Linked DNA regions of Oryzias latipes. The protein of the gene in region 1 purifies or fractionates together with the protein of each later gene. This does not show direct contact. Links are inferred from orthologs where the notes say so. Each region holds a gene or a part of one and is shown in the gene's direction. Other genes may lie near its edges.

Evidence for each region.
Region 2: the proteins of wasf2 (region 1) and brk1 purify together in Homo sapiens (co-immunoprecipitation; 3 studies listed by BioGRID and IntAct, with this or other methods). This does not show direct contact. The link is inferred for Oryzias latipes from reciprocal best matches to the Homo sapiens genes WASF2 and BRK1.

The regions. Positions count from the first base shown.
Region 1 is NC_019869.2:21,800,246-21,804,624, reverse strand, and holds the start of wasf2 (wiskott-Aldrich syndrome protein family member 2), read left to right. Parts: upstream 1-1,521; 5' UTR 1,522-1,652; intron 1,653-3,903; 5' UTR 3,904-3,934; coding exon 3,935-4,067; intron 4,068-4,205; coding exon 4,206-4,340; intron 4,341-4,379. UniProt on the Homo sapiens protein: Downstream effector molecule involved in the transmission of signals from tyrosine kinase receptors and small GTPases to the actin cytoskeleton. Promotes formation of actin filaments. Part of the WAVE complex that regulates lamellipodia formation.
Region 2 is NC_019863.2:7,144,541-7,148,312, forward strand, and holds brk1 (protein BRICK1), read left to right. Parts: upstream 1-1,287; 5' UTR 1,288-1,792; coding exon 1,793-1,910; intron 1,911-2,245; coding exon 2,246-2,328; intron 2,329-2,404; coding exon 2,405-2,431; 3' UTR 2,432-3,207; downstream 3,208-3,772. UniProt on the Homo sapiens protein: Involved in regulation of actin and microtubule organization. Part of a WAVE complex that activates the Arp2/3 complex. As component of the WAVE1 complex, required for BDNF-NTRK2 endocytic trafficking and signaling from early endosomes.

The DNA.
Region 1 (4,379 bases):
GGGTCATCTAGACCCACTAGACAGTGCTCTTAACCTTTTTTCTTGAATGATTTGTGATCTTCACTGGTGTCCATGGATTACATGAAATCTTTCCACCTTTATCCACCTTTGTCATGGTAGGGAGAACACGTCAATGTAAGGGTGGGGTCATCTAGATAGCACAAGGGTTAAAGGGAAACCATAGTTTCTTAACTGTGTTTGTGGCTTTGCATGCTGGGAATAAACTTTTGATCTCATAGGATTCCAGTCCTTTCTTTATGTAGTAAAGTAAAAACATCATAAAAATGTTGTCAAATTGTTTGTTTCCCCACAAAAGGCTGGTAACAACCTCAAATTCCCTTATTTGTTTTAAATCAAGAGTCATCTTTTTTTTAAAAAAAACAAAGCCGCTTTACTTGAGTACAATTTTGGCAGCGCTATACTAGACCTTTCTCAACCAATTTGGTCTCCTCATAATAATTACTGAAAAAAATAGACTAATATCAACTGATGTTTTCTTTTAAAAACAAAATGTAACTTAAAGACAACATATTGTTAACCAGTTGCATAATTCGACATTGCTTATCACTAATTTCATCAAGGAATAAGCTTTGATGCAATTATTGATTATTTTTTTGCCTTTTTTTGCTGAATACATGATTGTATCCTCACAGTTTAAGCTTGCACACCTCCAAAAACAATCAGCTGTTATGATATGAATAGTTAACATAACCCAGACATTTTTCTATTGAATATATTTAAAAAATGGGAACAAAAACATATGTTATAGATGTGCAAAGCAGAAGTGCTTTTACAAATGTAAGGCTCAGTAACAAGACAGAAAATTCAAAAACAATCAAAGAAGGAAAGAGGAAACAAAGAGAGTAAATCTGTTTGTAGCAAATATTTCTGTATATAAGTCTTCAAAATAAGAGTATTTATCAAATTTATCTAAATGCACCATTGTCCACAAGATATCTCACAAAAGATTTGAGAATGTGTTTCCCATTTGTTATTTCTACATTTGTTTATATTATATTTTCATTTTAATCATATTTTAATTTTGTTTTTATGTTCTAACTTCCCCAAACATAATTAATAGACGCCAATCATTTAATAGACATTTTTTATATCCAGTGTCTTTCCATACAGTATGTGTACGTTTGTTATAGATACAAAAATTAATGTATACATAAATTTTTACAGTATTGAACCTGCCTGTGCAAATAAAATCCTTAAACCCATAAAGTCAAAACTTTTTATCAAATATTTTGAACTATATAACCAAAGAGAATCTTCCATGTGTTTCTCTCCACAGATGCCAGTCATTCCTCGGACGCGTTCCAACTTGCTGAAGCAGAAGCTGGAAAAAAATCCCTCCTCCGCCCTAATTTACGAAAATTGCGGACAGATGTTTGTCACTAGTTAGGGTGGAGTTGCGTGTTTTACGTTGAAACGTCCACATCCTGTTCTTGGTGAAATCAGACGACAGTCGCACGAGCCAATCAACTTTGAGGAAGTCTGCCAGCAGCCAATCGGAAGTTTAGAATTCCGGGACTTACTCTCCTGGTATCGTTCGACAGTTTACTGTACCGCTCAACTCTTCTGAAGAAAATCAGGAGACAGCACAATTTTTAGAGTGGATATAAAACGTGAAAGTGCCATTTCTGCGGGTAAGTGAAATATTTTCTTAAGAATAGTTTTCTTTGTAAAGTGACGGGGGTAGATATTTGTTAGTTTGACTGTTTCCTCGAGATAAGAGTCGCCTACAAGTTACTTCCTGCTCTGACGAGGAGGCCGAGTTGCACTTAGCATGTTTTAGCTAATGTTGTGGGAATAAAAATACCTTATTTCTTATGGTTTATCCGAGAAAGCTCAAAACTCGACATTATGGTTATACTTACATTATTCTACTGGGGGAGGGGGGTTGTAAGGTACAACATCATGGGTTTCAGATAGCTAACTAAACATCTTGGCTTAGGTAGGAACGAACAATTCGGAGCATTTTCCGTAGAAACCTTGGAAATAATAAATACGCAGTTAGCCATGTAGCATTTAGACCGTGATACATGACTTTTCTTTTCTTTTTTTTTAAATGAAAGCGCCCACGTTGTTGTCAGTGTGAATGGAGCTCGACAGGGTGTAGTAGTTCTCTGAAGGTCTGCTGTCACTCACTGCAGATATCTCTGTTGACATTATCTTTACTTTTTCCGCGCGCTAAACTAAACTAAATAAGTCATAGGCATGATGTGCGCGCGCGCGGACGTTAACAACATTCACCATATAATGAAGAATTTGATTTCTGCTGCCTCAGTAGACAGTATAAAAAAGGCTTCGTAGTTCTTCATGTGGAACCTATTGAGTTCCCATAAGGCAGTAGTTAGAAATCTGTCTGGCAGGGTTTTGCTTCTGCTTTTTTTTTGTCTCTTTATTTTTATACATGTTGGCCTAAGCATGTGACCTTTGCAGAGTTTAGTTCAGAGTTTGGTTATTCATCTGTCTATAAAGGTCCTTAAGGGCCAGTTATCACTGCAAAACACAGAGATGGTTTAAATTCACATGCTTTGATGGAATTCTTTGTTCAAAATTGTATTCAAAAATATATATTTTTATAATAATAATAATAATAATAATAATACTAATGGATTGGATTTATCTGCACTAAAAGCTCTTACAATGTGTCCATTATTCATTCACTCGTCATTCATACGCTTTTCTACACCAGTGGAGCCCCACTGGAGGCAGGGAAGGGGAAGTGTCTTGCCCAAGGACACAATTATAGTTGACTGGAGGGAGCGGGGATCGAACCGCCGACCTGCTCCACCACCAGAGCCACTGCCTCCCATTTGGCCTCCCTTTGGTTTTAAAAACAGTGTGTACTTGCATAGTGACTTCAACTTAAAAAAGGGAAACTTTCACCTACCAACGTGATGAATTCCTACAATGAAAAATAGAGGGGATCCGATTGTTGTTGTTTTGTTTTAGGTTTTTTTTTTTTATAAACCTACCCTTCTACTGGTCTGCGTACTCATTTCTCCCAGGTTGGTAAAAAAAATAATAATAATTTCGTTGCATCTCTTCTTACGCCTAATCAAAGCCAGAATTTTTGGCTTTGAGTCCATTAATGAAGAAAAAAACAGGATTGTTTCAAATGTTTTGAATTAAAATCTTCTCTTCTTTAGGCCTAAAAGTAGGATCAGATTTGGCCTTTAAAAACCCACTTTGATCAATTGTAAAAAATGTCGATTTTATTGTCTGTCACAAAGACGATCTTTTTCAAACAGCATTTTTTTGTTGTTGTCTGCTCCTGATTCATAATCATTTGGATAAAGGAAAACTGAGAAACACAACTTTATGCTTAATTTACTTAATATACGTTCTCAATCATCAGAAAAATGAACACATTAAAAACAGCAAAAACACAATTTTCATTAAGTGGGTCTTAAAAAGGAGAGTATTTCAGTCTGAAAATAACTGTGCGTTTACATCAGTATTTCAGGTCATAGATCTTGTATCCAATTTTTTAACACTATTACTAACATTGTCAATAAAACAAAGAAATTCCTCTCGATTAAAAGGGTTGCACCAACTTAGAATATATTTTTTCTCAAACCCCAAAATGCCCACATAGGATTTTCCAGTGAACATTGTCTTTGCATTGTGCTGCAGCTGTTCATAAATGTTAGACATGAATCTTTATTGGCTTTTCCTGATTGATGAGTTAAGAGTCTTTATTGTTAGAGAGGTACTTTAGTTCAGCACTGGCTGTTATAGAATGTGAATTTTTCATAGCTAACCATTTAACAGGATGCACAAACAGACGTGCAAACCAACCTGGTTGGAGGGTCCTCTCTAAACACTTTGGTTTTTTTCTTCCCTTTTTGAATGTAGTTCATTACTGAATCGTGTTTTGTACACATACAGGGTTTGGCCGTCCTACCTGCCGACCCCCACCATGCCTTTGGTGACTAGAAACATAGAGCCACGGCATGTGTGTCGCCAGACCATCCCATCCACCATCCGCAGTGAGCTGGAATGCGTCACCAATATCAGCCTGGCTAACATCATCCGACAGCTCGGCAGCCTCAGTGAGTATGAATGTGGAGCTGAGCAAAAATTGAGTAACATCTTGAGGCCCATTCTATACATTTGCTACAGTAAATGAATGGTTAAAGCCTTTTTAAAAGGATGATTTTTGTCTTAAGCTACATTCTTTGTTTTTTAAGGTAAATTTGCAGAGGATGTCTTTGGGGAGCTGTTTGTTGAGGCCGGATCTTTCGCTCTTAGAGTGGACACACTTGTCAAAAGAGTGGAATGTCTGCAGGTTAAAGTCACCCAACTAGACCCTAAAGAGGAGGAAGGTATGTACTTTTTTTTCACGTCACATCAGTCATCGACAC
Region 2 (3,772 bases), on another chromosome or scaffold:
TGCATCTGAATCTGACAGTAATGATTATAAACTTCCAGCAATTTGTTGCTTTATGATTTTAACCCCCCCCCCCACAGTCACCCTCCTACCCCCACCCCACCTCCCTTAAACCCCTTTTTCTTCTTCCCTTCTTTTCCATACGCTCCAACTATATATTTAATATAAATATAATTAATAGATAAAGTTTTGTCTAAATTACAAAAGGGGTTTATTCAAATATACACCTTGTGTGTCAGAAGATTCATAACTTCACGTTGTAACATTAAAATATGTCCAACACAAGAGGCCTTCGGCTCTCATCTGTTTGCTCAGCTGTTGGACAGGACAAGTTAGAAAATAAATAAATTACGGACAACTTTTTGTTCACTTTGAGACTGTTAAACAGAAAAAGAGGGCTGCTGATGGGCTAGGCAAAAAAATCAATTTTTCGATAAATTCGAATTTGTTGCAATTTATCTTGGGGGAGACTGGGATTGTGTTTTTCCAGCACTGATTTCTTGGGCTTCTGTTGTTTGGAATAAGGTCAGCCCGTCCGTTTCTTACGGAGCCCCTTAAGGGCCATTGAAAAAAAAAAATAAAAGGAAAAAAAAAATTGAAGTAAAAAGAAAGAAAAACTAACGGGTGCGCACCAGTTACTAGGTAATTTGTGCACGGAGAAATGTTTCCAAGTTACCTGGAAATGGCATTATGTGAGCTAATTGAGTTTTACTTTGCTTTTTGACTTGTCTACAAAGAGATTCCAGCTTTGCTAGCTTACCGTCACAATTACATCATCTCTGAACGTCATCTTAAATGGGTTTTAAAGTCATGTGGTTTGTTTCAAAAAGCTTTTAAAAAACTAAAGCCATTTGTTATTTGTATTAATGGCTGTTAGTAACTGGTGAAAAAAAATTTAAGTAAAAAAAACAAAAAAACAAACTGCACCCAATACTAACGGGTGCAGTTAGTTTTTTTTTTTTTTTTTTTGCTTCATAATCTTTCTTTTGTTCAATGGCCCTTTAGGGGCTCCGTAGTTTCTTGCCATACGCAGTCATTAAAATGGCAGCTAGCAAAGAGGAGCTTGTTCCCAAAATAGGAAGACTTTTTTATTTTTCCCCAGTTCTATGGTGCTGGTTGAGTTTTGTGACTTTAGACTTGGAGCAAGAAAACTGTTGGAAGGCTGTTGCTAGCAAAAGTGGGAGTATGAAACAAAGCTGTGAAACAGCCGGTCCAGTGCCTGGTCACTGCTCAGCTGAAATGCAGGCTGGTTCTGATCCAGTTCAAACATTGTTTTTTCTTTCAGTCTGTGCTTTAAAAACAATCAAACATAATGTTATGGGTCCAACTGCTCATGATTAACAACACTTTGAAGAAAGAAATACACAGAAATACATTTTTAAGCTTAACTTTCTTGATATCTTTCCTCGATTATGAGAAAATGTTAAAGGAACATGTTAAAAACACCATTTTCATTGGAGTGGGACGGAATTGTTGCCATGGATTAGCAGCCTTACACGAAGAACAAATCAGAAATTGTATCTCCATGCAAAATCAAATCATTATACAGGATTTATTGACATTTTTGAATTTTTCATGGATGAAAGTAGTGATGAATTTGCTTAAAAACTATCTGGCTGCTGTAACGCATTTTTCGTTTAACATTTGTAATAAATAATATAAATAGAAAATGAGACTTCGGTAGAATTTAAACTCTTGTCTCTGGAAACAGTGAGATCATTGCGACCGGCGCCCTCTGCTTCCTGGATGATAGCTAGCTTCGGTGCTCGGTACTGCGGGCGGAGAATCATCCAACATGGCTGGCCAGGAAGACCCAGTTCAGAGGGAGATTCACCAAGACTGGGCGAATCGAGAGTATATAGAAGTCATAACGAGCAGCATCAAAAAAATCGCCGACTTTCTGAACTCTTTCGGTAAGGTTTCGACCACCATCTTCGGCGTGAAAGCGTAGAAAGATGGCGATAGCTTGTTAAGCTAGCCCATGTTGATGTTTTTAATGGACACTCCTAGTTAGCAGTTAGCTTGCAGGCTAGCGGTTTACGAATTGAAATTTGGGAAGAGCAAAATAAAAGTTTAAATTATATCTCCGTCCAGGGTAGCTGTATTACATAACAGAATGAAGACTAAATTCCATGGGACTGTTACACTGTAAACCCGAAAAAGCTTCAAATGCTACTTTATTGTTGTCGTCACTCGACTGTTCGTTAGCAGCACCTTTAAAGGTTTTACCACATTTGAACCCAAACAGACATGTCCTGTCGATCCCGCCTGGCCACCCTCAACGAGAAGCTGACAGCGTTGGAGAGAAGGATCGAGTACATAGAGGCCAGAGTAAGCAGAACAGCCCTTCCGTGTTTCCCATTCTCAATGCTAAGCAGCTGCTACATATTTCTGTTTGTGAATGCAGGTGACAAAAGGAGAGACCCTGACCTAGAGAGGACCATGGATGGGACTTCATGTTCTCCCTGAATCTGTGTACCCATCCATCCACCACCCAGAGCTTTTGGACTGAGCGTTCTGGACTCCACCTTCCCTTTTTTAGGGGGGATCATCATAAGGACCATTTTTATATCTTGTGATTGACCTTTGTTGTGTTGTCTTCATGGCAGAATTTTGAACATAAAATGAGTCCATCTTTGGGGTGTGGCTGACTTCATTGTTATTTTTTAGAACAAAGTGGGAATCATCAAGTTTTGGTTTCAAAATGATATTCAGAAATGGACCTGCTCTAAACTTTAAGCATGCAGTGTCATAAACAAATCAGAGATTTATATAGAAAAATAGGGGTCAATTCTCATGTGCCAAGTTGAACAAGTAATTAGTTAGAGACCATTGAGGATATTTGTACAGCAAATGTTTCTGAAAATAAAGGCATTGCATTGTTTGGCTCTATTATGTTTAACTGGACTACAAAAGTCCTACTGATGTAATTATTAGGAAATGTATAAAGTTTAGTTATAAGAAACAAAATAATATTGTGCATATGGTAAGTTAGAACACGTTCATTTTGTTCACATCAATCACAGCAAACTAAGGGATGTAGGGGTTGTGTATTTTGAATTTTACAGTTTGAAATTATAGGTTTTCCTAATGTCCTTTTTTGATTCAAACTTTATGAAATAAGATTTTTTTTCTTGTTTGTTTCATGTTGGAAACGTGTAACAAATCTGTAAACTACAACTCCCAATTAAATTAAAAAAATGGCGGAAATTTGTTTGTTTTGTTACCCTTAATTCTGACTTGCAGGCCACAGAAATGGGAAGCATATTTTCTTTAAAATACAGAGGAAAAGGGTGGATCTATACAGGTTGAGGGGCCGGAAATGGGAGGATATGGAGGATGTTGGAGTGATCGAGGACGGGGATGGAAATGGACAGTTAGTTCCATGAGTGTGATGGAGGTCTGAAGATCAGAAAACGTTTGGGAGCACAGAGCAGAAAAGGTGGCTGTTGTTGTGAAGCATGACGTCACAAAACTCTTTAAATTTGAAATGGACTGAAGAGCGGCAGTTGGGCCCGACCACATACCTGTGAGGGTATATGGAAGTGTTTAGGAGAGGTGGCCGTGTGGCAGCAAACTTTTTCCACTGAGCTGTTTAGTGAGGTCTTATGAGAGGACGCCTGGGGAATGGGCGAGTGCTCATTTTTTAAGAAGAAAGCGGTCATGTTAAGTTTTTGAGACTTTAGAAGAATAAACCAGATCAGTAATGAACATTTGTGGGGGAGCCAGTTTAGCTCGTGCTGGTTTGCGGCGCCTTCCGTCCGTGAAACCCGGG